Linked DNA regions of Tribolium castaneum. The protein of the gene in region 2 purifies or fractionates together with the protein of the main gene of each other region. This does not show direct contact. Links are inferred from orthologs where the notes say so. Each region holds a gene or a part of one and is shown on either strand. Other genes may lie near its edges. The genes, in order: Pax and Csk.

Region 1 (14,971 bases), on a different chromosome or scaffold from region 2:
TTAATGCTACAAACGGTAGCCAACGTGGAAGCGATATGAAGGTAGGTGTATTTTATTGCTATGTCGTATTTATTTATTTCACAAACCAATAATTTCATAAAACTTAATTGCAATTAAAATCTTTAAATGCGGTGTTGAAAAGTGATATTTTGAGTGACACATTTTAAATACAGTAACTATAAATAAAATAAACCACTCAAATAATTTATTGCCACGAAATTTTGCCTTTAATTTCAATGAATGAAAGTGGCTTGCTCAAAATTTAATGCAAATAAACATTTTTTTTGGTTTCATTTTTATTATTATTTTTTTTAATGCTACAAACGGTAGCCAACGTGGAAGCGATATGAAGGTAGGTGTATTTTATTGCTATGTCGTATTTATTTATTTCACAAACCAATAATTTCATAAAACTTAATTGCAATTAAAATCTTTAAATTCGGTGTTGAATAGTGATATTTTGAGTGACACATTTTAAATACAGTAACTATAAAAAAATAAACCACTCAAATAATTTATTGCCACGAAATTTTGCCTTCAATTTCAATGAATGAAAGTGGCTTGCTCAAAATTTAATGCAAATAAACATTTTTTTTTATTTCATTTTTATTATTATTATTTTTTTTAATGCTACAAACGGTAGCCAACGTGGAAGCGATATGAAGGTAGGTGTATTTTATTGCTATGTCGTATTTATTTATTTCACAAACCAATAATTTCATAAAACTTAATTGCAATTAAAATCTTTAAATTCGGTGTTGAATAGTGATATTTTGAGTGACACATTTTAAATACAGTAACTATAAATAAAATAAAACACTAAAATAATTTATTGCCACGTAATTTTGCCTTTAATTTCAATGAATGAAAGTGGCTTGCTCAAAATTTAATGCAAATAAACATTTTTTTTGGTTTCATTTTTATTATTATTTTTTTTTGGTTTCATTTTTATTATTATTTTTTTTAATGCTACAAACGGTAGCCAACGTGGAAGCGATATGAAGGTAGGTGTATTTTATTGCTATGTCGTATTTATTTATTTCACAAACCAATAATTTCATAAAACTTAATTGCAATTAAAATCTTTAAATTCGGTGTTGAATAGTGATATTTTGAGTGACACATTTTAAATACAGTAACTATAAATAAAATAAAACACTAAAATAATTTATTGCCACGTAATTTTGCCTTTAATTTCAATGAATGAAAGTGGCTTGCTCAAAATTTAATGCAAATAAACATTTTTTTTTATTTCATTTTTATTGTTATTATTTTTTTTAATGCTACAAACGGTAGCCAACGTGGAAGCGATATGAAGGTAGGTGTATTTTATTGCTGTGTCATATTTATTTATTTCACAAACCAATAATTTTATAAACCTTAAATGCAATTAAAATCTTTATAATTTCATAAAACTTAATTGCAATTAAAATCTTTAAATGCGGTATTGAAAAGTGATATTTTGAGTGACACATTTTAAATACAGTAACTATCAATAAAATAAACCACTCAAATAATTTATTGCCACGAAATTTTGCCTTTAATTTCAATGAATGAAAGTGGCTTGCTCAAAATTTAATGCAAATAAACATTTTTTTTGGTTCCATTTTTATTATTATTTTTTTTTGGTTTCATTTTTATTATTTTTTTTAATGCTACAAACGGTAGCCAACGTGGAAGCGATATGAAGGTAGGTGTATTTTATTGCTGTGTCGTATTTATTTATTTCACAAACCAATAATTTCATAATAATAATTTAAATGCGGTATTGTAAAGTGATATTTTGAGTGACACATTTTAAATACAGTAACTATAAATAAAATAAAACACTCAAATAATTTATTGCCACGTAATTTTGCCTTTAATTTCAATGAATGAAAGTGGCTTGCTCAAAATTTAATGCAAATAAACATTTTTTTTGGTTCCATTTTTATTATTATTTTTTTTTGGTTTCATTTTTATTATTTTTTTTAATGCTACAAACGGTAGCCAACGTGGAAGCGATATGAAGGTAGGTGTATTTTATTGCTGTGTCGTATTTATTTATTTCACAAACCAATAATTTCATAATAATAATTTAAATGCGGTATTGTAAAGTGATATTTTGAGTGACACATTTTAAATACAGTAACTATAAATAAAATAAAACACTAAAATAATTTATTGCCACGTAATTTTGCCTTTAATTTCAATGAATGAAAGTGGCTTGCTCAAAATTTAATGCAAATAAACATTTTTTTTTGGTTTCATTTTTATTATTATTATTTTTTTTTGGTTTCATTTTTATTAATATTTTTTTTAATGCTACAAACGGTAGCCAACGTGGAAGCGATATGAAGGTAGGTGTATTTTATTGCTGTGTCGTATTTATTTATTTCAAAAAACCAATAATTTCATAAAACTTAATTGCAATTAAAATCTTTAAATGCGGTATTGAAAAGTGATATTTTGAGTGACACATTTTAAATACAGTAACTATAAATAAAATAAAACACTCAAATAATTTATTGACACGCAATTTTACCTTTAATTTCAATGAATGAAAGTGGCTTGCTGAAAATTTAATGCAAATAAACATTTTTTTTGGTTTCATTTTTATTATTATTTTTTTTTGGTTTCATTTTTATTATTATTTTTTTTAATGCTACAAACGGTAGCCAACGTGGAAGCGATATGAAGGTAGGTGTATTTTATTGCTGTGTCGTATTTATTTATTTCAAAAAACCAATAATTTCATAAAACTTAATTGCAATTAAAATCTTTAAATGCGGTATTGAAAAGTGATATTTTGAGTGACACATTTTAAATACAGTAACTATAAATAAAATAAAACACTCAAATAATTTATTGACACGCAATTTTACCTTTAATTTCAATGAATGAAAGTGGCTTGCTGAAAATTTAATGCAAATAAACATTTTTTTTGGTTTCATTTTTATTATTATTTTTTTTTGGTTTCATTTTTATTATTATTTTTTTTAATGCTACAAACGGTAGCCAACGTGGAAGCGATATGAAGGTAGGTGTATTTTATTGCTGTGTCGTATTTATTTATTTCAAAAAACCAATAATTTCATAAAACTTAATTGCAATTAAAATCTTTAAATGCAGTATTGAAAAGTGATATTTTGAGTGACACATTTTAAATACAGTAACTATAAATAAAATAAAACACTCAAATAATTTATTGCCACGTAATTTTGCCTTTAATTTCAATGAATGAAAGTGGCTTGCTGAAAATTTAATGCAAATAAACATTTTTTTTGGTTTCATTTTTATTATTATTTTTTTTTGGTTTCATTTTTATTATTATTTTTTTTAATGCTACAAACGGTAGCCAACGTGGAAGCGATATGAAGGTAGGTGTATTTTATTGCTGTGTCGTATTTATTTATTTCAAAAAACCAATAATTTCATAAAACTTAATTGCAATTAAAATCTTTAAATGCAGTATTGAAAAGTGATATTTTGAGTGACACATTTTAAATACAGTAACTATAAATAAAATAAAACACTCAAATAATTTATTGCCACGTAATTTTGCCTTTAATTTCAATGAATGAAAGTGGCTTGCTGAAAATTTAATGCAAATAAACATTTTTTTTGGTTTCATTTTTATTATTATTTTTTTTAATGCCACAAACGGTAGCCAACGTGGAAGCGATATGAAGGTAGGTGTATTTTATTGCTGTGTCGTATTTATTTATTTCACAAACTAATAATTTCATAAAACTCAAATTTGTGAAATTTGTGACGTTTGTGAAATTTTTACTTGTCAGCCGCGCATCGGCACCACGTTTTTCTTCAATAATCTGAAATTTTAAATCCGCCAATAGGATTTCTTTTTCCTGTAAAACACTAAGGCCATCTATCCGCATCATCAGTAAAACCTAATTCAGTGAGGGCTCGATTTGGCTATATCAGTTCGGGATGCCTGGGTGAAAACAGCAACATAGGCGAATCTCTCTATCTCTCGTTTTTCGCGAAAGCGCTACCTAATCCTGAGAGAACGAACTAACTCGATAATAGCGGGAAATTCAAACAGGACATTTTATTTATTTTCCAAATTTAAAAGATTATAAATGTTAAATGTTTCTGTACTCATGCACTGTTACGAGACATTTTAATAAAAAAGCATTTGTAACAGTTGCAATAGCACAAAAACATTTCTTTCCAATAAAAATTTATTAAAAAATAATAACGTGCTGGAATGTATAGGCAAAATTAATTTAACTTGAATTGTTCTTCAAAAAGATACTTCAGATGTAGTAATCTATGTAAATACATTGTCCAAACATACACAATGATCCATAAAAACTGAGTATATTGGCATCAGATTAAATTATTAAATTGTTAACTGGAAGTGTACACTATTGGTATCCTTTAAAATTTAAATTCAGATTGCTGACAGACACAGTATTTCGGGATCAGTCTGTATAAATACATCAGATTTGTTGGTTCAATTACTTGTCTACACACTGTTCAGAAAAACAAAAAAATATCAAAATTTTGATAGTAACCTTTGACATTAGTCCAATTTTTAAGCCCCTAAGGCTAAATTTTACAATTCTCAGATGAACAGACTCCCGATAAGTTTTTAGTGTTTTTGTTCAACAACGTATTTTTCGAAATTTATTCGCGGGGATAAAGCTATCAGACGTTTGTAAAAGGGGCCCTAACACGTTTGATGTTAAAGTTCTTGATAAGTTTTGAAATTTGAGTAATTTTTGAGTAATCTCGATTGCACTCAAACTCAAGTGTGCTAAAATTATTTAAATAAAAAGCGAGAAATCTGATATACATAACTATAACCGAAAATTAGGGAATTACAACTACCATGTAATCATTTGAATTTTAAATTTTTAATAAAAGTATGGGCACGTAGGTTATTTTTAGTGAACCTCTTTTTCTTTTACTTTCAGCAAAATGTGCGACAGATTCCTTTAAATTTGTGTTTGACGCGACCTCTCAGCTTGAGTGCACGAACTATTTAGCCATTTCCCCTTTTGCCCCACCCCATAGTAAGTTTAATTATTTTTCTGTGCCTGTGCTGGTAGTTATCAAATAATAATATTTATCATTTACAATTTAAAATGTATTTGTTTTTGTTTACTATACGAAAGTTATAATCGGTTTTTAATAATAATGGTAATAATAATAATCACCAATCGCATTGCCAACCTTGGAATCTTTTCCCCCAACTAGTATGAATCCGGGGAAAAACATTTTTTTATCTTACTCACAATGATCCTTTGTATCAATCTTCTTTTAAACAGTTAATGAAGCAACGAATACCGCAGTTGTAGACTTTTTTAAATTTTTTACGAGTATTCTTTGTAAACTATGGGGGTAAGACAAAACCACATGGCTCACTAGATGATCCACTTTATTTCACACGTTAAATATATAATAATTATATTTAAAATTAGTTTTTGTTACAAAATAATTACAGTACGAATTAACAACCTTGATTAAAATTAATAAAAGTATAAAAAATAAAATGGCAACTTGTAATTAATTATTGAAATGCAAAATACAACGAGTGCATCATACGTGTTCTGAAAAGAAAAAAAAATAAGAAAAAACAGTATGGAATTAAAAGATTTCTGTTCGTAATAATAAGTCATTAATGGATTAAGCAAACCTACTTGACTCATAAGTCTAACTAACATTTAGATATAAATACAAGTTGGTTTTTGATGAAACTTAAGAGACAATTAAGAAGATGAAGAATTCAATTAGCCGAAAAGTTTATCGAAACACGTATGACAATATGGCTTATCATTCTGTTCCTTGAAAGTGCCCTTATTTAGCTGCTTGAGACAAAATGCACAAACGAAATGCTCCGGATGAAATTTCCTAAACATGGCTGTGATGCAACGGCCGGAAATCGGTTTATGGCAACCGGCACACAGCGAACCACGTTTCAAGTGGTAATGGGTCTCGCAGTACGGCTGACCTTCGTGGTCGAAGAAGGAGCCACCTATAAACGGCTGGCGACAGTCCTGGAAAAACAAAACATGATACAATTAGTATTCGTAAAAATATTTCTTGGTGTAAGACGAGGAAAAAATCCTTGAAAACGATACGAACTAGACCGTAAGAAATCATATTGTAAAGATACAGTGCGCTGGAAAACTATTTCGTTTTGAGAAAAATTCATTCACACTCGAATGCAAAAAAACGTAAATTGACTTTTTTCAGGTAATTTACCTATTAATAAATGCCACAATTTCAGAATTTTTTTGCACTCAATTGTACATCATTCGCAACTTAAAATAAATTTCTTATCTTTTGGTTATTGAAAATGATGTCATCGTCATTTTTTTAAAATAGAAACCCCCGATTTTTTAGCCATTTCAATAGGGATGTTAAAACTGAAAGGGTTAAAAAATGAAAGGTCATGTGCCTTAAAAAAATTTTTACGCTACGTGCTTTCAAAGTTTCATTTCTAAAAATTGCTTTAGGTTTGCAGTTATGTTAGCGAGAGTGTACTAAATTAGAATATTATTAAATATATATTTGTTAAACAAAAAAATAGCCAGTTCCAGTTAGAATTAACTTAAATTTGTACATCACTGTTTTATCTATAGATTTTGAGCAAGATCCATTTTTATTAAAAAAAATACAAAAGGTTAGTTTACTTTTATACTAAACAAATATGTTCGTAAGTCAACTAATAAGCAATGAATAGTAGGTACTTTTATAGTTATTAATAATACGAGTGCGAAAACACAAGCTTAAAGTTCGAGGGCTATGGTTATGCAACGAGCGTATGCGAGTTGCATACCCAGACAACTGAGAACTTTAAGCGTTTTCGCATGAGTGTTATTTTTTTTGTTGAAACATTTTAATTTTAAAAATAGTGTATTTAAAATAGTGATTATAATCAAGGATTCAGATATTAAAAAAAAAGCTAAATATATTACCAACAAAAAAAATAAGTTTTATATCATGTAATTCCAAATTAAATGGACATACTCCCTCAACCACAATTAAATTTTATAATACTTAGTACATAGCCCTTTAGCAACAACTAACTTGCAATTTTAGCGAAAAATACGAATGCGTTAAGCATATTTCAATTAAACATTATTAAAATAGTTCGAATTTGTAAAAAAAATAATAAAAAAATTTACATAGCCCCTTCACTCACTAAGCCCTTCAATTGCCGAAATGGTAAAACCATTTGTAGAATAAAATCTATGAAAAAGAAACCTAAATTTTAGTTATTAATAAAATTAATTATTTTAATTTTGCCCAAAACTCAGGCAAGTATGTTTTAAACAAAACCTTAATTCTTTTTGTTGATAGTATTTTTTGTGACAAATCAATTAAATATTTGTTCAGTCTCATGCTTTTCTTTTAATCAGACCACAAAATGTAGAAGATTTGCAGAATATTAGCCCATAGAGGCTTTCAAATAAAATTCAAAAATTGGAAATTTAAATCAAGTTAAGAATGGAGTATTTTTAAAAAGAAAATTTAAAGCTGTTCCGGCATTTCTGACATAGCAAACAAATTTTCAATTGCAACAGGTTTTAATAATAAATAATAATAATTAATTTAATAATAATTCCATAATTTTGCCATTCGCGACTGGATATTACATTTTTCATAACTCTTTAATACTTTAAAATAAATAAGGGCATGTCAATCAGTGGTAGAAAAAAGGTTAATTTAATTACTATTGGCCATAGTTGGTGAAAACCCTACTGAAGCACTTAGTGAAAGAAGAAGAAACGCAGAAACTTTTTCCAAACTCCGAAACTTTAAAAGTGTTTTATTTTTAATTATTGTCCTTTTTTTCCACCTAATTCACTCAAGACAAATGTAAACTTTTTTTTCTATTCTTTGTTTCACTTAGTAAATCATTTCACGTTAATGTGTGCAAAAATCCCTACTTCTAAACCATTGAGAGACATGTTCATCTAATTTCTTCCCACTTTCTCAAATTAATTTATCTTTCCGTCACCACAGAACAATAATAAAAATTGATTACGCCTGCCATTAATTGAGCTGTCTTGTTTCCCGTCGCCATTAAATCGAAACGAAATTAGCAAATCGAATGAAATAAATAACGCAGAGAAAAATTACAATGATTTTGGCTCGTCTAGTTGCTACAAATCAAGGCCAGAAACGTGGTGCAACAAAACCCATTAAATAGAACGAGACAGAGACAAGTTTCATAAATTTGTCCTATATTTTCGTGTAGGTACCCGACCTATAAATAATCCTGGCTTAAATATGATGTACAAAGACGTAGCAACTGACCCAATAAACACACAATTTATAAAACGGCCGCTAGGCCTCACCTGGGCGACAACGCAGCGCTCTGAGCGCGCAGAAAATCGCCCTGATTCTATTTGTGTGTGTATTTTTGTGTTTTCTTTTTTATTAAATCTTTATTATCTCAATATAATACAAATATACAAGACTTTGCTCTTATTTACGGGACAGGGTTAGACTTTATTAGGGGTGGCTAGCATATTTATTCGTCTTCTTCGTCCTCCCGCCCGATGCATGCTGGACACACCGGTTTGCCTTCAACCGCATAAAACGACTTCCCTTGCACCGGCAACTTGCAATCCTATGGTTTCAACTTTAATACCTACTCTCCTGGCTCATTTTTGCGCTTTGCGTCGGGGCCGTCGATACTTACCCTGCACACAAAGCAATCGGGGTGCCATTGCGCGTTCAGCGCCGAGATGTAGTTCTCCATGATGGCCCTATTGCACGCCCCGCACTTGGGGGCGAACATGTCGAAGTAATCGTCCCTACAGTAGGGCTTCCCTTCGCGCTCATGGAACCCTTCTTCCCCGAACTGCTTGCCGCATTGCGCGCAGAAGAAGTGTTCCATGTGCCACGTCTTTTCCAGCGCGGTCACGCATTTCTGTAAATAGAGCGGTCAGAAAGTGCTGCTTCAGCCGCGCCGACCTACATCCAAAATAGGCCCGTTGCAGTAGGCGCAGCGCGGACTGAAAAGGTTGTGGTAGTCCGGCTCGCAATAGGGCTTCCCGTCGCGCTCGAAGAAGTTCCGCGTGCCCAGCTCCTGGGTGCAGTGGGCGCAGGTGAAGTGCTCCGGGTGCCAGGTCTTGCCCAGCGCGGTGATGACCTGCCCGACGATGGGCTTGTCGCAGGCGCTGCAGCAGCCCTTCTGGCTGGTGTTGACCCCTTGTCGGCTCATGTCCGCCTGGAGGTTGCCGAGCATAGAGTCCAAGTTCTGCTTGGGGGCGCTGTGGGACTGCGTCGCTTTCGTGGGGCGCGCGTACTGCGAGTCGGTGACCGTCTGGTGCTGGGGCTGGCCCTGGTTCACCTGCGAACAGAACGGTCAGGAGCGCTTTGGAGGCGGTGGGACCAACCGTCGGAGATGGTGCTCGGGGGAAACTGAACAACCGCGCGCTTTTCACGACCAAGTAAATTTTCACGCCCCCCTCTCCCGCGACATTCCCGAAAACCGGGCTATTTTTGTGGAACTGTGGCGGGATTCTTATTATGTCACAGTGTTTCTTCGCTAGCATACGGACCGCTTTGTTATTATTATTCTACTTACATCACGGTTCGAAAAAGATGCGCCCACGCGACACGCACGATTTTATTCTTTTCGGTTATTTTTAATTGCTTTTGGCGTATTTTTAACAACCATTCATTTAATTAACACGTACCTTGATGCCGGACAGACTCGCCATCAAATCGTCGAGCTCTCGGGTGGCCGTTGAGGCTGCAGGGGCCGTAGACGTGCTGATGTGGGATGAAATCAGTTCGGTTTCACCGGGATAACCCGTCTCGGTTTTTGTTTCTTTCACAGTGATGGTCACTTTTTTCGGACCAGCATAAATCACTTCACTGGAAATTGTTTAGTTATCAACGTGACTGACATTTACATTAGGAAAAGATGATACTAACCGCATGACTTATGAACAGTGGCGCAATCATTGTCTCAAAGACAATGCGCAATTTAAAAGAAAATATGCAAAGTAAGCTAACAGGGAGCAAATCAAGCACAACGAGTCACTAGTTCTTGGATAAGTCTGTAAAAGTAAATTAATATTCCTTTTGTGACCGTTGACAATTTACAAATTTTGTTTGGGACATGATTACACTATCAGTAGAGCCATAAATGGGACTAGTACACTTTATAGAAATATAAAAAATTTAACGTTATATTCTAATTGAGAAAAAAAGATAAATTGTCAGCATTTTATTTCAATAAAACAGTCGACAAACATCTTTTGACAAATTTCAGAGCGACAGCTGTTTTGTTTGACCTCAAATCACGAAGCTATTCTCTAGTGTTTAGTTAATTTGTATTTAGCCATGGCTAATGCAAACGTGCTTTACGTTACCAAAACAAAAATAGTACAGTGCGGTTTAAAAAAATAAAATCAAGGATAATTTAGGTAATATTAGTTCAAATTAGGTAAAAATTTAGCACTGTTCCTTCTTTTAAAAGCGTGTCCCAACTACAGAAAATTAGACACACCAGCGAATTCCAAATTCTGAAATACTTTCTGTGCCTTAGAATGAGTCGATCAGTAAACGTAAATTTCAGTTCTTACTTTGCAAGATCTAAACATAATCATAGAGTGATGCTGTTTGTGGAAGAAAGTGATATCAAAATAAATAAATAAATAAATAACAATATAAAAAATATTGATAATTTTGCACAAAGGAGTTTATCTTTCTTTTTATTAATGGTAATAATAATTTCAGTCCCATGTTTCCAAAATATTTGGTCTTAACTAATTTTATTTATTCATCTAATTAGCCATATTATTATATAATTTTTTGTTAATAAATTTAAGTTAATAGTTAACAAATAATGTCACTAAAACTCCTGAAATTTTAGATTTAAGTAAAACCTTTGATAGGGCATTTTTAGGCCCTCTATTATATATCTACCAATTCTACCCACAAGTAAAGGATTTTTCTTACTAGGTCTTAGAACCGAATACACGAATACAAGGTGATTTAAAAGTGTCGGACCAACCTTTAAAATGCTGATAATAGAAGTTCGACTAAGCATAAAAATGATATCAGGTTTTTAAGCAACTTTTTAATTTTTAGAATGTTTTTCCTTAGCAAATTTAATTTGTTGCTATTTTCAGTTTGTTATACGAATAAAAATAAATACATGCTCGAAAAGCAAATTAAAAAAAAACATTTTCTGAAAAACTAATGTTAACTAGGAACCGGTTTATAAAAGCGTCATTAATTTAACCCCCAATTAAATGCGTGCTTAACTGAGCACGTGACGAAATTGAACAAATGTGATTGGTCGATTTGCTTTGTTAACTTTTAACAACGAATTAAAATTTAATGAAGCTTTCTAGACTATGATTTAAAATGATGTGGCATAATTTTAACCACAAATATCCCTCTACAAATGATAATAAATTGGAAGGTTTTTGTTGGCCTATCTCAATTAATAGAAAAATTACAACTTTTTGAATGATTTTTGGAAAATACTTTCGTTATTGATTGTCTGATTATTATAAAACTTGGCAATAATGTAAGGACCGGTTTATAAAAGCGTCATTAATTTAATCTGCAATTAAATGCGTGATTAACTGATCACGTGACCACATTGAACCAATTTGATTGGTCTATTCGCGTTGTTAACTTTTAACAACAAACTGAAATTTATTCAAGCTTTCTATCAACCGGCCCTAAGACTAATAAAAGACGCTCTTTAATGTGATGTAAACGGAAGTTATACAAAAGTTGTACATTTCTGGTTGTAATGGATTCCCCGCAGTTTTTTAACCATAACTTGTTTTTTCAGCCCATTAATACATATTTTTGATACCAAAGATTGAAAGCCTATTCATTTTTCTTAAAAAAAGATACTCTTGTTGTACTTCGCTAAAATATACCGTTTTCGAGTTATTTGGGTTTAAAATAAACTTTGCAAAATCGGAAATTATAAATTTTAAATGTCCGGTACTTTGGATTCAATTCACTTTGAATGATATTACTTGGACACCACTGTTACTACTGTCCAGTTACATTTAATTTAAAGTAATATTTGGTCATTTCTTGATAATTACAATGAAACTTTTGGTTATTCGTTGATAGAAACAATTCAGAAGCCGGCAGGACCCCATACAACACAAGACTGTATTTAATCTTAACATCACCTTAGAAATAAGAGGCAAATTTTTCTTCTACTCTATGGCTTTATCACTAATATTTAGATATTAATTGTGTTGACTCCAAAAACACAAATCAGTTTTTCTCTACCATCTAATGTAAGAACAGTTAAAGAAAATAACAGACAACAAAATAAAGCAGCAATAATTAAAAAATTCTTGAAACAAACCAACTGTATTTTGTACTACATTTTTTACAGATATTTATTACGAACTTTGATCAGCTTACAAAATAAGAAACTGGTAAAAAAACAAATATTCAAACCTGTGTAATGTCGATAATTTTGAAATATTTTTTAAATAAAAATCCATAAAAATTATATTTGTTTAAACAATGTTGGATAGAACAAACAAGAACGTCCTTCGTAAGTCATTTGTTTCTCAATTATGAAAGAAACGATTTGTTGGTCTTAAATATATTTTTATCTAAAAATATTTCTCTAATTGGATTTGGAAGTGCCAACACTAACTATTTATCTCATTATTTGTATAAATACTACAGGAAATGTAGTATTTTCAGCGCGTGATTCGCAGGTATTTAATCTCATTTATACTTTACACATATTTTTTCTACCACCACATCAAATAAAAAATATCTAGTTTTTACAATAATTACTATTTTTTGTAACGCCACTGGTTGACAAGCAATGTTACAAACGACAAACATCTTGAAACGCTTTAACAATTGTCCGCCAAGCCTCGCATGACATTTTTCACGTCGCGCAATTTATTTATCATTGTAGGTTTGAATTTACACTTAAAACCTAGTTGAAGTAATTACAGACGAACACTCCCACCTACGTGTACATAACAACGATCAAGTTGTGGATTTCTATTTCTGTAAGCGCACTAATAGTCAAAAACAAATCCTTCATTTGGCACAAAACTCTCAATAAAGTTGTTTGTTAAATTTAGATAAACACCTGGTTTAAAAAAACAGCAAAGCTATTCACAATCAGATAAAAAACACCTGAAGGCATTAATCAAATCTGTACTAAAATAGCAGTAGGTCAAACCCGGTGACTTGCGTTAACAAATCTACAAAACCATAAATTTTCCCAAATAAAAAATATAGGTCGCATTACAGCGTTAATGGTCCCGGTGATATAAACCTGATTTTAAGCCAAGAGAAACAATTCTTACTCACCCGGGATTTAATTCCTCCAAAAGACTATCGACTGTGCGTCTGTTCAAAGTACTTTGGGCGCTCGAGGGACGCGAATGGGGGCTCAAGCCGCCCGAGCCGTTGTAAGTACTTCCGTTCAAAGTTCCATTCATTCCATTTTCTGCAAAAACAGCCCAGTAAACCAAGAAGTTGAACCAAACTGGAATCTTACCGGAAATGTTGCCATAACGCGAATTGCTCAAGTCCTGCAAGAGCGTATCGAGCTCGGACAGATTGTTATTAAAAGTGCGTTTCTCGCCGGCTCCGGGCCCGGAACCGTACCCGTACCCCGGAGTGCGGGCTCCAGAAGTCGGTTGGGTCTTGCCATAAGTACCCTGAAATCACAATTAGAAATTTCTAAATTCAGGGTATGTTGTCCGGAATGTATTTTCGGCGAGTTATATTCGCTTCAGATTAACTTTAATTTTATATAAATATACAAGACGTGTGTATCTCGGCCACTTAACCAAACATACAACTGCTAATACATCTAAACAGGCCTGTCCTAAACAACCAGAAAAACCGCAGAGGAAAGCGGTGTACAAATTGAGGAAATCAGGAAAAACCAGAGGAAATCATTTTAAATAAGTCAATCAGGAAAACGATAAAAAGCACAATCAGGATAGAGTTTGTAGGATGCAAATACTAAAGAAAGTTATTTTTTCAAATACATAATAAAATCTGTATGGGTCGGTTTATAGAAGCGTCATTAAGTTAATCCGCAATTAATTGATCACGTGACCAAATTGAACAAATGTGATTGGTCCATCCGCTTGTTTAAAATTTAATTCGTTGTTAAAAGTTAACAACGCAAATAGACCAATCAAATTTGGTCATGTGATCAGTTATTCACGCATTTAATTGCGAATTAAATTAATGTCCTATGTGTATTAGACATTTGAAGACGGATTTCATAAACTGAGGCTGTTGGATATTATTTTCACGCGCTTTTTGACGAGAAGATGCTTAGAGAAATTAGTAATTTTACGCCATTTAACAATTTTACACTGTTTTATCCACAATGAATTTAGAAAATCTGGTAGATGCTCGAATAAATGTAATAAATACATTACTATGCTTCTAATTCGAAGCTAGCCTACAGGCTAGAAGTGAATAAATATTTATACAAAGTGATTTTTAAAAATTTTCTAAATGTCATAGTGTATTTTGGTTATATTCAAATTTCTTAATTCAAATTGGAACCCATATTTTTCTTTTTATAATTTGAAAAATACTAGATTTTTGGTACAAAAACATGTGTGTAAAAATTATTAAATAGAAAAAATATATGGATAGTATAATCACGACACACTTAAACACATTCTTTAAAATTAATGATTAATAATCAATTAACAGACATGTTGCAAGTGTATTTGAAAAAATATTGGCACAACTTATTTTCTTTCATTTACTGCTTTTTAACATAGCAATAATGGCAGTGTCCTCTTTACCATCTCATGGTAACAGACAGAAAATTTTTTAAATTTTATTTTCCATTTTTATGAACAGAATCAGTAGAAGTGAATTTCTCTTTATAGGAACTTAGTACCAGTCAAACTGTTTGCAATCTACAAGTGGAGCCACATTTGTAAAATCTGAAATACGAGCAGGAAAAAAATACGAATTAATGACAGACGGAACATAAAAAAAAACC
Region 2 (15,650 bases):
AAATTAGTGATATTGCAATGCGTATAGCCACAAATTGTTTGTTTGGTTTGTTTTGTTGAAAATTCGGTAGGCTCGAAAAGTTGGGTTATGTTGTTACCTGGAAATGGCAAAATTTACACTATTATATTTTGTCTTCATTTCTGCCCTTTCAGAGCGTTATGATAGGATATTTAGGGCCCAAATCTCTCTACCTTTATTATGTGCTAATGTCAGATAGAGACAAAAGTTCAGAAAATAGGATTAGGTTTATTATGCTCTTTTCTGAAGTGTTGAATTTTAACTTTAATGGATTTTGTGTGCTTTTTTGCACTTTTAGAGCGTTATTAATTATTATTGAATATGTTTAAGGGCAGACAAATCTACCTTGAGTCAACGACATAAACTTCAGTGAGATTGAAATGTATATAGGGACAAATGAATTTCTCGTGTCAGACATTTTTATGAAAAAGGTTGTTTAATCGTTCATAAAGGGCGTGTTAACGTGTATTAAGTTTACCAGGTAATAAAACATATAGTACACCAACTTTTCTATAAAAGCATTTTGCAAAATTTTTATTCATTATTTTCACTATTTTTCTCCTTTCCCTTGTGCAAACGTGAAATGTTGTTGCAAAAATTAGTGGTATTGCCACAAATTTCATATGTTTAATGAATATGTTTAAGGGCAGATAAATCTACCTTAAGTCAATAACATAAACTTCAGTGCGATTTAATGAAATGTATATAGGGCATAAATAAACTTGTCGTGTCAAACATTTCCATAAAAAAGTGTGTTTAATCGTTTATAAAGGGCGTGTTAAAGTATGTTAAATTTACTACGTAATAAAACATAAAGTACAACAACTTTCTATAAAAGCATTTTGCAAAATTCTTTTTCATTATTTTTACTATATTCCTCCTTTCCTGTAATAACTGATTCGTCCTTCGGGGGCCATTCTGAATACTCTTTCGACCTTTTTTTCAAAGAGTATCCTTACATTTGATTGTTATGTATACACTTACAACTTTTTTTTTACTTCACTTTAGGGCACTGAGTGGAGCTACCACCGGAAACAGCTTCCAAAGCATTCGAAAAAAACATTTTTTGTTACATTCCATTCGCAAGAAAGTGAAAAAGGTGGCCACAGTTTATTTGTATTTGATAACATTAAACCAGTTACACCCAAAATACTATTAAATTAATTAAAAAACATTCATTAAATTGATACTTTTTGATCGTAAGAACGCTCGTCAAAAATCACGGTCTGTGCGTAATATGATAATATCTAATAATGTCTGCGTATGAAATTTTCAAGTTTATTAATTTTTATGAGTAATAAGACCTTATGAAATTATTTAGACAAGTGCGCTTGAAGCATTACATCATCCTACACTGATTGTGGTTGACTTTCTTTAAAAATCAGGCAGAACTTCTGCATAGTTTGACCTGATATGGCCAATTACTAAGTTTAAAATTTCACGTAAATTATTTTTTCAAAATGACACACACTTTTGTATTATATCCGATTACAGGGTTTCTTACGTGTAATTTAAGATTAAAAAGCATGATTTGCTCTCTTTATGTTACGAAAATTATGAGTATTACATTATGACTCATTGCGCACAATCTTAATTGTTTTGTGATAGTGGTAAGTGATAAGGAAGCAATTTTAATGCAAATTACGAATTAATTTCAAACAAATTCGCCCGAATAACAAGCGATGTTTACTTATTCTTGTTTAATTATTATATAACTTTGGTTTATATTGATTTTTAAATAAAGATATACTTTTTTAATTATGTCATATCTGATGCCTATTTATTCGTTATCTTATCATCAACGATTTACCATATTTGTGGTAAACAGTCCACTCGTAAGTTTTGTGTAGAATAATAGGGTTGAACCGGCACGTAAAAATGCGTGAAATTGTGCATCTTCAAGTGGGTCAATGCGGGAACCAAATTGGTTCACGGGTACGTACCCTGGCTAAATATAGGAATTACGTAATAATCCGATAATAAATTATCTAGTTTTGGCATACGATATCGAAAGAACATGGCATTAACCCTGTTGGAAAATACGTGGGCGACAATGATCTCCAATTGGAGCGAATTGAAGTGTACTTTAACGAAGCGGAAAACGCGAATTACGTCCCTAGGGCGGTGCTGGTGGATCTAGAACCCGGTACCATGGACATGGTGCGCGCCGGGCCTCTCGGTACCCTCTTCAACCCAAACAACTTCGTTTTCGCTCAGTCGGGTGCCGGGAACAACTGGGCCACCGGTCACTACACCGAAGGCGCCGAAATTTGCGACAACGTCTTGGACGTGATCCAACACGAGGTTGAGAGATGCGATTGCTTCCAAGGGTTCCAGTTCACGCACTCTCTAGGTGGTGGTACCGGCTCCGGTTTTGGCACTTTGCTCACTTCGAAGGTGCGTGAGGAGTACCCTGACCGAATGGTGACAAGTTTCAGCGTGGTGCCATCACCGAAAGTCTCGGAAGTGGTTCTGGAGCCCTACAATGCGACCTTGTCCGTTCAGCAACTGATCGAAAACACCGATCAGACGCAGTGCATTGACAATGAAGCCCTCTACGACATTTGCTTCAACACTTTGAAGAAATCGTCACCGAAGTACGACGATTTGAACCATTTGATTTCCTTGACAATGGCGGGGGTCACCACTTGTTTCCGGTTCCCGGGTCAGTTGAACGCTGACTTGAGGAAACTGTCGGTAAATATGGTACCGTTTCCTCGGCTACACTTCTTCGTCCCCGGATTTGCGCCGCTGACGGCTCCGGGAAGTGTCGCTTACCGGAAATTAAGCGTCAAAGACTTGACTGAACAGATGTTCAGTCCCCGGAATATCATGGCAGCTTGTAATCCGGCAAACGGGCGATATTTGACCGTCGCTACCATCTTCCGAGGACCCGTTTCAATGAAAGAGGTAGACCATGTCATGTTTGAAACACAACAGAAAAACTCGGCCTATTTCGTCGAGTGGATCCCACATAACATCCAAACGGCGGTTTGTGACATATCGTCGCCACACGCCCCCATTTCGTCAACTTTCATTGCAAACACCACAGCCATTCAAGAATTATTTAAACGCATACAGGAACAGTTCTCAGCTATGTTCAGACGCAAGGCCTATGTGCATTGGTATCAGGCTGAAGGCATGGATTTGCAAGAATTCACAGAGGCTGAAAGCAATTTGAATGACTTAATTTCCGAATATCAGCAGTATCAGGTTAGTGTTCCAGGAATCCATCTAATCTATACTTATATCAGCTTGCCATGATTTCGAAAAGTTGTTTCAAGGACTTGTAAAATAAATATTCAGCCTGATTCCTATAATTGTAAGAGGCCTGTGCATGTGTGCACTCAAAAGTTACAAACTAATCAGTAACTTATTAATGTTATAAATCACTTTTGCTTAGAAAAAAAAATTATCGATCAAGAGGTGGGGTAAATATAATCCTAATCTATCCTAATCACCTAAAATGTTGCAATTCTAAATGACACAATAGCAATATTTATGACGTTTTTGAGTATTCACATTATTTTTAAATGATTTAAGTATAATAGTAATAACAATAATAATAATAAATAGTCTTTATTATAGGCAAAGTTTAGTCAAAGCTATTGCAATTTAACCTGATGGCAACTGATATTTTTTACGGTTTTTGATTGTATACTTGTTTACCTCTCTGGTTAGTTTCAAAAATTCAAAAGAAATAAAATAAATAAAATAAAACAAAAAAGTTCTTGTGAACTTTACACCAGAAATATTGCTTTCTAGAAAAAGGTAATTTTTTCCAAGCATAAAGATTTTGGTTTCGCTTTATTAAAGTCTCTTCAGAGGCTGTTTTTACAAGAATTGTTAATTAAAATCAAGAAAAATTTTTTGAAAAATGCCCTACATCAAGGACATGAATTTTGTGGATTAAGTATTTTTGGTTCTGTCTGTATTCCGGATTCCAATTTGCACATAAAATTATGTGAACACCTGTAGATATTGATTTTTGTTCTCAGGATGCGGAAGTTGATGAGGAGTATGGGGATGAAGACGAAACAGAAGAGGACAAATTTGAAGAAGAAACATGATTTCAATACATTGTCAATTTGTTAAAAAAAAGAAATAAAGACAAATAGAGTTTGTAATTATTGTATTTTGTACCCCTCTCTAGTTTAAAGTTGCGCACGCCTAGAATGAGTCTCAGTGCGTTTGCGCATTGTCCTCTCCCAATCACTTCATCTTTGTTTATTTCTTTCTCGCTTCGGGTGTGCAGATATATGGAAGCATCATGAAGGTGAGTTTACGGAAAAAGCTCAAATTTGTTCAATTTTTTGCAAAAATATGAACACTGATCCCTTGCGGGATGAATAAGAGGCCATCTCCGGTTAAATTGTCTCTTGGCAACTGGACGATGGTCGAGATAATCGTCGCTATTTGCGTGTTGCTACACGTAGCCTGACCTAACCTCTATCATGTAGCAATTTGTTTTTGCAGCTGAACGTGTCCTATCCTGCGACAGGATGTCAGAAGCTGTTCGAAGTCGTCGACGAACACAAAATCCGTATTTTCTATGAAAAGCGGATGGGACAGGAAGTCGAGGCTGACCCCTTGGGAGACGAATGGAAGGGCTACGTTCTTAGAATATCGGGCGGGAACGACAAGCAAGGGTTCCCGATGAAGCAGGGTGTTCTCACGAACAGTGAGTGGCTCCGCAAGTGGTTGATTTTGTTTAAAGTTGTGTTTTAAGGCCGCGTTCGCCTTCTCCTCTCAAAGGGCCACTCCTGCTACAGACCCCGGCGTGACGGTGAAAGGAAACGCAAGTCAGTTAGAGGGTGCATCGTCGACGGCAACTTGAGTGTGCTTGCCCTCGTTATCGTGCGTAAAGGCGAACAGGTGCGTTGGTTTTCGAGCAGCTTGCAGTTTACAAACACCCAATTGTGCAAAGTTGTGTGTGACTTGAAACTGCTAGAGCATTGTAGTCACTTACCACACGCCAATTTCGTCAAATTGGCGTGGAATTGTCACTCGCACATTTTTTTTTCTACGGCTAGTTGGACATTGTCATTGACTATGTTACAGGAAATCCCTGGATTGACTGACACCACAGTCCCGCGGCGTTTGGGACCCAAAAGAGCATCAAATATTAGAAAACTTTTCAATTTGAGCAAAGAAGACGACGTCCGTCAGTATGTGGTGAAGCGCCCCTTGCCCCAGAAAGAGGGCAAGAAGCAGCGCTTCAAGGCACCCAAAATCCAGCGCTTGATCACACCAGTTGTCTTGCAGGTAATTTAGTGACATCGCAAAATCCACACTCAGGCAGTTTCTTAGTGTTTTGCCAAACTAAAGAAGCGTTCATGTGTGTGGTACACCAATTTTGTGATATCACTCCGACAGTAGGTTTTTATTGTCAATGATGTTGCAAATACAGTTTTTGTTTTTTTTAAGTGAATTTGTTGTAATTTGTTTTGTTCTCCAGCGCAAGCGTCATAGGCTGGCTCTGAAGAAGAAGCGTTGCTTGAGGCGCAAGGAGCAGTCAGACAATTACGCTAAATTATTAGCCCAGCGTAAGAAGGAATCAAAGGCCAAGAAGGAAGAAATGAAGAGGCGCAGATCTGCCAGTCTTCGCGACAGCAAATCTAGCAGTCACAGTGCGCAAAAATAAAGTTTTATAAATGACTTTTCAGGAATAAAATTGGTTGACGCTAAATTGTGTTTTTTTCTCATTTTTTGACAGATTGACGCAAGTTCTAGAGCTGATTAAACGACTCTTGTTTAATCAGTGTGATAACCTTGCAAGAAAATCATAGTTTCTTACCCTAAGGTAATTCACAGGTGAATTACTTTTCTACTGAACTATAACATTTGTCCCAGTGTTTAATGGTGAGTTGGTTTTATTTTATTAGTATCTTAAGTCACGAAATGATGAATTCATGTTTTTGTCTTCTTTTCCCGACTGAATATTTTGATGTCAAAAAATTACTGAGTAGTTGTTTTCGTAAATCACACCAAATGTTATTTAATTGGTATTACAGTTTGTTTTCTTTTTCAGGCTGTTGTGGCAGTTGGGATTTATTCAGGTAATTTTACTTTCATGTATTTTTTTGTAATTTCATTCAATGATGATTTATTTTTTGTCTTCTTTTCCCGACTGAGAACCTTGATGTTACAAAATGTACTGAAAATGTTTTTGACTCACATTTAATGCTTTATCAATCCGCTTGTATCTGAAATGTTTTTGTTTGTTTCAGGTACTTCCCCGGTGATACATAAATTACAATGTATTCCTGGTGTAGTAATTTTAATATAATAAAGTCACAACAAATATTAAGCTCGTTTTTTATTTTACCACCCTTAAAAAAATAAAAAAAATATATTTATACTGTTCAGTATTTCCTGGCATTGCCATCATGTGAAAACAAATACTATACATATTTTTTCTCTTCTCAAACATTATTTTTTATCAGTAAAAAAAGATCATAAAGTGTATGTGTACTGTTTAAAATACAGTGGAACTTGGTTATAACTAAAAAAATTGAAAGACCCATTTTAAGTCCTATATTATAGTAACAAATTGGTTCGGTTTTAACGAACACTCGCTTTTGACATTTTTTAGACAAAAAAGATTGTACGACTCGGTTGTAACTTATAGCGTACGCACGTGCACTTTTGTTTCATTCTAGGAAACATTAAGCATTTCCGATATTGTAGAAAGATCCCAAAAGTGATACATATTTTAAAAACAGCTAAATTGTTAAAGGCAAACAAAAATAGGTAAGTAAACAAAATATTTGCACTATTATTTTACGTATACTTATGTAAATAATTAATTATCTATTTTTCTAAAAAAAATACATAAATATTTTGTTTTCTTTATCAATTTCAAACATTAAAACTTATTTAACTTAAAATTATCCTATTAGGCGACGATCGGTTGTAATATAACGAACAAACTCTGAAGTTTTTTGGGTTCGTTATAACCGAGTTCTACTGTATTTAGCTCAGCAAATAGCTGTAATAATACTTATGGCGTTTTATAGCAGTATGTCTTTCTAAGAAAATCTTATTTAAATACCTAGCAATTAGATTATTTTACTTAGAAAAGACCTTTCCATTCGAATTCTCTGAGCGGTGTATAGTTTGTTGCCTATGCGCCACTTTCTCTTCGATGGGCCCTGCTTTATCGACATTTTCCAAACCAAAATGGCTGTTGTTGGTTAGAGATTGACATTTTAATGTATGTTTTTGAAATTTAAACCCAGTTTGCTCATAAAAAATAAATCAGCGATGCTTCCAAACGCTCCAGTCGAAGTGTTTTAAAAAACTTGGTGAGTTTCTGGAGTGGCTTGTTGTTTAGTTCGGTGAATTTGGTAAAAATGCAACTTAATGGGTCAGTGATTTATATTAATACATTTGGCAATATTTTGGCAAAATTTTGGTTTGTGTTGAATTGCGAAGGGCGTTAGCGAACCGGCTGCGTCTTTTGCGCAGTGAAACCCAAAATTTCGTGGCCAAATTGCAAATTTTGATAGAAATGTATTATTCATTTCCGTTATTTATTATCACCGAAATAAAATGAGCGTGAAGGGGCTAGGAAAGTGGCTATTAATGCTTTCGTTTCAGTGAGTATGTGTTGAGTCGAAGTGGTTGATTCTTGAGTGATGACCAGCCAAAACTCGCCATTTCCTCAGGTGCGTCATTTAAACCCATCGCGTATTGAATACGTAAATCAGGTTGGGTCGTTGCAGAGGTATCAGCACATTTTCGACTACAGTCAACAAACGGACGGTCAATGGGACCCCATGACCACCTCACACCCACCCACAGTTCCTGCCAGGGGCATCAAGAGGAGCACCCCTAGCGAAGCGTTCCGTCCACATGATGACCCTTCCTGGGTGAGTGGACCGCTAGTTCCCACACTTTCAGGCCAGGTTCCCATCATTCAGCCCGAGAAAGTTGACGCGGTTTTGCGGCGATTTTCAAACTGATGCGCAAATCCGACAGACCGTCGCATTGTTGAGGACAGTGTCTATCGTAAATAACACAGGGAAATTAACATGACATAACGCAGCCTTGAAATCATTATGTCATTACAATTCCATATTATTACGCTCAACTTATTAATTACTCCGCTAATTTGAATAAAATTCTAAAGTGCGCCCGATTTTACAGTTTTAATTTGATGCAGTAGTCGCTTCATTCTAATTTATTCAAATGAATTCGCGACGAGTCATTTATTCGTGATGGAAGAGCGAAGTATTTTTTCAGATGGCGTCCCAAGAAGTGGCGTCACAAATGGACAACAGTATCAAGCACGAATGTCTGAGATCCCCGAATAACATGAACATTAGTTCAGATTGCAACAATTTCAAAAATGTGCGCCATGACGTCAACGTTAACCATGTCCCCAGTTTAATGCGACCGAATTCGAAATTCAGTACAACACCGTAAGTTCGTCCGTACATGCTTTCCCCCCAATAACACTTGCCACAGGAGTTGGTTTCACGGCAACATTTCGCGCGAGAACGCCGAAAATTTGCTGTCAGCGCGCACCGATGGGCTGTTTCTCGTGCGGGAATCAACGAATTTCCCGGGCGATTACACTCTGTGTGTCTGCTACGACAACAAAGTCGAGCATTACAGAGTGAAGTCGAACGGAGGTAAATTAACAATCGACGACGAGGAGTTTTTTGATAATCTCGAAGACATGATCGAACATTACAAAAACGACGCCGACGGTCTCTGTACGAAGTTAGTGAAAGCGTTGTGCAACGAAAAGTCGAAGGAAAACGACGACTTGTGCGTCATCTCTGAACAGGAGCTCGAGGTAAGTCCGTCCAATGACTGGGCGCGGTTTCGGTCACGTGTCTCTCTTGAAGATCTGCGAGCCAATCGGCAAGGGCGAGTTTTGCGAGGTGATGCTGGGTAAGTGGAAGAAGAACAAGGTGGCGGTGAAGGTGCTGAAGGACTCGAGCGAGGCAGAGGCAATTTTAATGAAATCGCTCCACCACGAGAATTTGGTTAATTTGTTAGGCATTGTGCGGAAGAAAGATCAGATTTATTTGGTGACGGAGTATATGAGTAAAGGCAGTCTAGTTGATTATTTGCGGTCGAGGGGGCGTTTGCACGTCACGAAGAAGGACCAGATCAACTTTGCGTTTGACACAAGCTCGGGTATGGAGTATTTGGAGAAAATGCATGTGGTGCACAGGGATTTAGCTGCGAGGAATGTTCTCATCGCCGAAAACGGCGTAGCGAAAGTGTCCGATTTTGGGTTGGCGCGGAATGAGATGAATCCCATGTCGGAGTCGGCGAAGTTGCCGATCAAATGGACGGCTCCCGAGGCTTTGAAGCGAAATGTAAAACACTATTCTGGTCATTTCGCCGTACATTTTCTGCTTTCAGATATTTTCGAACAAGTCGGACATGTGGAGCTTCGGGATTCTCTTATGGGAGATTTACTCCTTCGGTAGAGTTCCGTACCCGAGAATAGTAAGTCACTCTTCTGTTTTCATTTATTTTTGATGGAAAACAATGCTTAAGTTAAAAAACATATAGAAGATTCAAATGAATTATTTTACATAAATTAAACATACATGTTGAAAGAAAAGACATGAAAACAAAGAAATAAGATAAGAACAAAATCCCACCCAATAAACAAAATATATAATAAATATAAATATATAACAGAGCCCGTGCTCTTCGTAAATAAGTAATTTTTGGTTTATAATGAATAAAATTGACCTTTTTTTGAGCGTAAAATTGTCCTTTGTGTTTCTTTTATTTTCAACAAAATTATAGTTATGTATATTGATACCGTTAATATTAAAAATATTTAGCGATTAGCGACCGCTTAGTTAAATAACGAAATAATTGTAAATTACTATTTCAGCCTCTTGCGGACGTGGTGAAGCACGTGGAGAAGGGATACAAGATGGAGGCTCCGGAAGGCTGTCCGTCGGAAGTTTACGAAATTATGAGACAGGTAATTTTGCCGTCTTATGGTTTATATGAATAAAATTGATTGTTCAAGGCGTGGGATCTGAATCCGGACAAAAGACCGACGTTTCAAGACGTGAAGGCGAAACTTGCACAATTGAAGCAACAGACTTCCTGATTTAGCTCTAGTGTATATTATAGATAGATGTATGCGTGTGAGTGGATGTGAATGCACTTTGTGTGATCCATAATGTAATTTCACTTTTATTGCAATTATTATTCTAATCATTACTTTAGATTTTTTATTTTAACTGTACAATTATTTCTCTGAATGTGGTGTGTCTGACTAGAAAATTGTTGATTTATTTCCGTACTCTTTTTGTACACAGTTGATATTTATTTTCTCAAATCATGTAAATTTGACGTACTTAAATTGAATAGTGTTCAAGTCAGCGGAATCAAAAGTAACGTCGATTTGTTTTGCTTTGTTTAGGTGTAAGCGTACTCTGATCGGTCAAGTCCAAATGTAATTATTTTGTAAATGTTTTTGTTTTATAACTTTTCTAAATTGAAAATATATTATTTTTACGTTATTGTTTAGTTTTTAACAATTGGAGACTATCTTTGTAGTTTAGCGTTGGCTAAAAAGGCTCAGATTTTTTTGTAAATTTCCGAACGATTTATGTGTAAGTTACAATGAGATGCATACGACAACAATCATTAAATAAAAAGTGATTAAGAATTGAACGACTTTTTCATTGGGGTGGCAGTAAAGAAGGCGGGTTGGTCAAACATGTTTATTAGTACAAATGTAGGAATAAAAAATCACAAACCATCTGAATAACACAACATTGCCGTAGTCAATAAATACAAATTAAGATTCAACTATGAACAACTTCAAAGATAGCCAAATGAATGAAATGAAAGGAAGAGTAACTCAAGAACCATAACAACAAAAAGTGTCCCTCTAACAGTGAAACACAGATGGTGTTAAACGCGAATTGAAATTTTCATACATCTTTCAATTCTGCAGGCACTTCACTCTTGGGATGCTTATTCTCAAAGTGTTGTTTGTAAGTTTTGGGGTCAGGCATTTGGGCCTGAAATCACACTGCAATCGAGGGAAAAAACGGGGCTATTTCCTTACCTTACAAACGGTACAAACGTACACTAAAGCCTTCTGGGCCGCCTTCTTCTGGTCAGTAGCACTGTGGCCTTGCTGCTTTTTGGCCTTAGCAGCCTTTTCCTGTGCTTTGGCTTGTGATTGCAACTTCTGCTGTCCTCTTGCCATTGTTTAATAATAGAAGTAATAGAACATTCACCTCTGAGATAAAAGTTGATGCTCTGTGAAAGGATTCTAAGTACAGTTATTCTGTATGAGGGAAATATGACTACTAACCTAAAAGTGGAAATGTGGTGATCAAACTGCCGACTAGTGCCAACGAAACTTAACTTTATTCGCAATATTGCTCACATATATGGAGAATTACTTCAAGTTTTCTTCAAATTGCTGGGAATATCTTCCGGAACTTTTTTATTTTCGAATTGACAGCTGCAATGCAGCGTCAACTTGATTCGGGACGAAAGGGAAGTAAGTATCGAAGTTCGCGAAAATCGATGTTTTTTTTCAACATCGAAAAATACATCGAAATTTAATGTTTATACGAAATAAAGCTGTTTTTACATTCAACCTTGTAAAAAAAATTACATAAACAAAAATTAGAAATATTACGTTACATCTTAAATTTAAAACAAGATTTTTAAACATAATTTTACGCATGTGGAATGCAACCAGCAATACACAAAACGAATCAATATTGATAATAAATTAATAATAATTAGTTTTATTTATTAATGAGATAATAAATTGCTGCAAGTTAAAAAAACAAAAAACTTGTCTAATTTTTTGATTACAACTTTGCTTTTAAGTTTTTTGAGGTAAGTACTTGAAAAAATTACAAGTGGGTGGATTTTTAAGTTCCAGTCGCTTTAATTTTTTGAGAAACAAATTTTAGGCAAAGCATTTTGCAAATTTATTTAGCAGTATTTACTATTTGTAACTAAATCAACGAAGAAACCAATTTAGTATGTTTCATTTCATGTTTTTTGATTAGTCCAAAAATAAATTAAAAAAAACTAATAACCTAATCGATGTATATACAAATAATTGACACATTTTTGTGAATACGGCTTATTTATCTTTTTAGGTTTATTTGAGCAGAATTTAGAAGGGCGAGCGCATGCCAGTAGGTACTCTAATCTTTTTTTTTTTTTTTTTTGATTAATTTTGTCTGAAATAATTTAATTTTTTTGTCTATAAATCCAAAAACAAAAAAAAATATTTTAAAAATTTATTTATTTTAATTATTATACATGTAATTATTAATTTCTTTATACCGACAGCGTTGATTTCAATTAGTTGTGTAAAAATCTTACTTTTAAGACTCTTAGTTTTTGTGTAACAAATTAAAAAAAAGTGTCAAAAAATTTTTTCCAAAAATTAAATCGACCATTTTATTCGCACCTAAGGCGAAATCCCGTTCTGTGAGAAAAACCAGCCCTACAACCAGTTCTAACTACACTGGTGTCTCATTTGTCCCAGAAATGAGTAAATGACCAATAAAAATTTAAAGATCACCTCCTACTTGTTTATCTGGTGCACAAAAAACTGCTAGACGATTGAAGCGTTTGTCATTGGATATGGGAGGGATATTGCACTCCCAACTGTAAAACAGACCAATCACAAGGCGATTAGAACTGAGCAATAAACTGTTGTTTGATTATTTTGTAAATGTCGGCTAATGTAACTAAGGGCACAGCACGGGTAGTGGGGTAACTAGAGCAGCAAGCAAAATTTAACTTCCTTTATACTATATTTGATTAGATAATAATAAATAGATAAAATTAATATAACAATAATAATATTAATAATAATAATAAACATTACAAATGAATTAATAAAAAAATAGATACGTTGTTTCTAAATATTTTGCCTGGATCTTAGTCCTTCTTGAATTTGTAGCAACGGCGGAAGCTGCAGCGGGCCTTCCTCTGTTGTTTTTGCTCGTCGATGGCAAGCTGAAACTGGACGAAATCATCCAAAAGGACCATGAAGTCCGCAGTTCTGTTGTACACATCTTCGCGAATAAACTTCTCATTGTAGAATCGATGAAAAGCAGCAACGGCACAAGCTTCTCTCAGATCGTGGTCCTTTTTACATACCTGGTAGATTTTCGAATTTGCAACAGCGAGGCTGAGGAGCTTGTAAGCGCCTTCCTCTCTGGAAAAAAATTGAAAATTGTAATAAAAGCTTTTGCATTTTTGACTTACTTACTTTAAAAGCACCATCAGACGATTACGGATTATTCTGGACTCGCTGACAAAATATTTAGAAAACAACAACCCCATCACAAAATTATTAACAACGCTCGAACAACGACTCTATGCAAACTGTAACTCACACGCCTTGTGGAAGGCTTTTATTGATAAGTTATGAAAAGCATTTAATCGAAGCAAATGCCAATGATTATTCCAGGAAGATAGGTAATGAGTAAGAACCATATAAATTTTTTGAATGTTTGAATTTTGGGCTCTACATTTTTTCTGTTATTTTTTTTAATTTGGGCACTCGTCGGTTCCGATAGTATAATCTCGGCGACGCCTATTTAGGCGACGCTTATTTAGGCGTCCCTTATTTAGGCGACGCTTATTTACCCAAAAAATCACTATGTCTGTAGATAACTGCGAATTCTTGCGATAATTTATAATTGCCATAATCATCATTCGAAGCTGAAAAATTTTGCAGATTTTTGCACGCTGAATGCACTGATAATTTGTTTTATATCTGCATTGCTAATGCCAAAGTCATTAGATTATTATCAGAGGAGGCACCCTTAGATCAACCTTGTTTACTGTAATAAGTTTTTTAAATAATATAAATAGATTGGTATCAGATGATTTTTAGTCCAATTATGTGTACTACCACGTTACTTTATACGTTATTTATTAAACAAAGTTGATAAAATCCCCAAAAAGGTTCAAAAATTTACAGATTACAAAAATTTTATTTCTCTGCAACTTTTTTTAATTACAGCTTAGACTGAATCTAATATTAATGTTTTTGGCAAATCAATTTGCTTCTCCTACACTAGCCGTTACTAGATAATCCTTTAACACGTTGTTTTTTGGATTATATTAAAAAATATATTTATTTCCAAATTTTGATTCCAAACCGTAAACTTAGTTTGTTTGTCTGAAAAGCTCTATTAAGAAGTTATTAACTCAAAAACCTTAAGGTCTATTGTCCATTTTGTAAAAACGTGCTTATATTTTAAAGAAGTACCTAAAATTGTCAAATTTTATATAATTTACCGCATGATGGTGAAAATCTCAACGCACAATTTCGTAAACTTGTAATTTAAGTAGCTTTTTTTGTCTTTTTTTTTTAATCTATTACTGCTGTTAGATGCGTTCTGGTTTGCTTTTTAAGTGAACCAAATTTCAAAATTGTTGGTTGAATAGTTAATTTACGAGAAGGACATATATTTAAAAAAACACGGTTTTTAGAATTGTTGATCGACCAAGAAAAAGCCAAATTAAACGAGGCTTACCAAGGGTTGAGAACAGATTTATTATTACGAACTGTTATAATAAGATGTCTTAAGCAAGTCTTCCAAACTCATTATTTTTTCTCTGTTTTGTTTGTTATACTAACTCTTGTACAAAAGTATTATGTTTTTAAAAATGCAATAAAAAGCATAATTTTGGTCTCACTGCAAGATTTACTAAATACTGCATGAAATAAATATAGAATAGGTAAAGTTTTTGCAGTTTAATAATATTAATATTAAAAATAAATAAATAAATAAATAAAAACTATAATTATTACTAATTAGTTTGCAAACTTGAGTTAAAATCTTTTCCCGTACCGATCATTCTACATCGAACCAAGCAAGTGAACAACATGAATAAAATAGAACATATCTGTATTTATGTTCCAATATAAAAAAATTACGAAAATATAGGAGCCAGTGTCTTTGATTTTCAACGTTTTATTTGAATGATTAAAATTTTGTGGGAAAAAATTCGTGGTTTTCGAGAACAATGTTTTTTTTAAACGACAAGTACGAGAATGGGGCCTTGGTCACCTAAAAGCATTAAACTAATTTTGTATTTCTATAAGGGCCTGTTTATAAAAAGATCCAAACATTGTTAAAAGTTTAATGAACCAACCAAATTGCTTCAATTTTGTCACGTGATCAGTTAATCACGCATTTGTGGATTGAATGAATGAATTAATTCTATAAACCGAGCTTAATTGTAATATCAATATAATAATAATATAATTTATTTACGAAATAAATTTTAATTCTAATTTGTAAAATCAGTGTCGGATAGGCTTGACAAATTAATTGAATAATAATATTATTTTAATAATAATTTTTATATTACAATAATTCTTTATCAATATTAGAAAAAAGTCTGCTGTGTACTTGGCAATATCGAAAAATTATGCTCTAATGCAATAGCAGGTATAATTTGAAACCAGTGTTTTTTACATAATTATTTTTATATAATTTTTCGACATTGACCAAAGTGGTTGTATCCATGGATGTAATTATTCGAGTAATTCGTAATTTGGCAAATTTTTTGGAAATAAAACCATCTATGGATACAACCACTTCGGCCCAGTTCGAAAAATCTTCGTAGCGCGC

What was found.
Region 1: the proteins of Csk (region 2) and Pax purify together in Homo sapiens (affinity purification with mass spectrometry; 4 studies listed by BioGRID and IntAct, with this or other methods). This does not show direct contact. The link is inferred for Tribolium castaneum from reciprocal best matches to the Homo sapiens genes CSK and PXN.

Annotation. Positions count from the first base shown.
Region 1 is NC_087395.1:17,987,363-18,002,333, reverse strand, and holds the end of Pax (paxillin), read right to left. Parts: intron 13,653-14,971; coding exon 13,490-13,652; intron 13,439-13,489; coding exon 13,300-13,438; intron 9,847-13,299; coding exon 9,666-9,846; intron 9,520-9,665; exon of another isoform or gene 9,363-9,519; intron 9,317-9,362; coding exon 8,942-9,316; intron 8,894-8,941; coding exon 8,663-8,893; intron 8,591-8,662; coding exon of another isoform or gene 8,492-8,590; exon of another isoform or gene 8,266-8,491; intron 6,006-8,265; coding exon 5,739-6,005; 3' UTR 5,370-5,738; downstream 1-5,369. UniProt on the Homo sapiens protein: Cytoskeletal protein involved in actin-membrane attachment at sites of cell adhesion to the extracellular matrix (focal adhesion). Recruits other proteins such as TRIM15 to focal adhesion.
Region 2 is NC_087403.1:6,762,635-6,778,284, reverse strand, and holds Csk (tyrosine-protein kinase CSK), read left to right. Parts: upstream 1-7,192; 5' UTR 7,193-7,325; intron 7,326-7,620; 5' UTR 7,621-7,658; coding exon 7,659-7,688; intron 7,689-7,730; coding exon 7,731-7,892; intron 7,893-8,265; coding exon 8,266-8,444; intron 8,445-8,490; coding exon 8,491-8,824; intron 8,825-8,876; coding exon 8,877-9,356; intron 9,357-9,402; coding exon 9,403-9,489; intron 9,490-9,889; coding exon 9,890-9,982; intron 9,983-10,030; coding exon 10,031-10,114; 3' UTR 10,115-10,683; downstream 10,684-15,650. Other genes in the region: tubulin beta chain, read left to right, coding at 1,897-1,953, 2,011-3,231, 4,017-4,088; RpS6 (ribosomal protein S6), read left to right, coding at 4,289-4,294, 4,495-4,699, 4,748-4,893, 5,080-5,283, 5,477-5,662; zinc finger protein 706, read right to left, coding at 10,947-11,036, 11,084-11,227. UniProt on the Homo sapiens protein: Non-receptor tyrosine-protein kinase that plays an important role in the regulation of cell growth, differentiation, migration and immune response.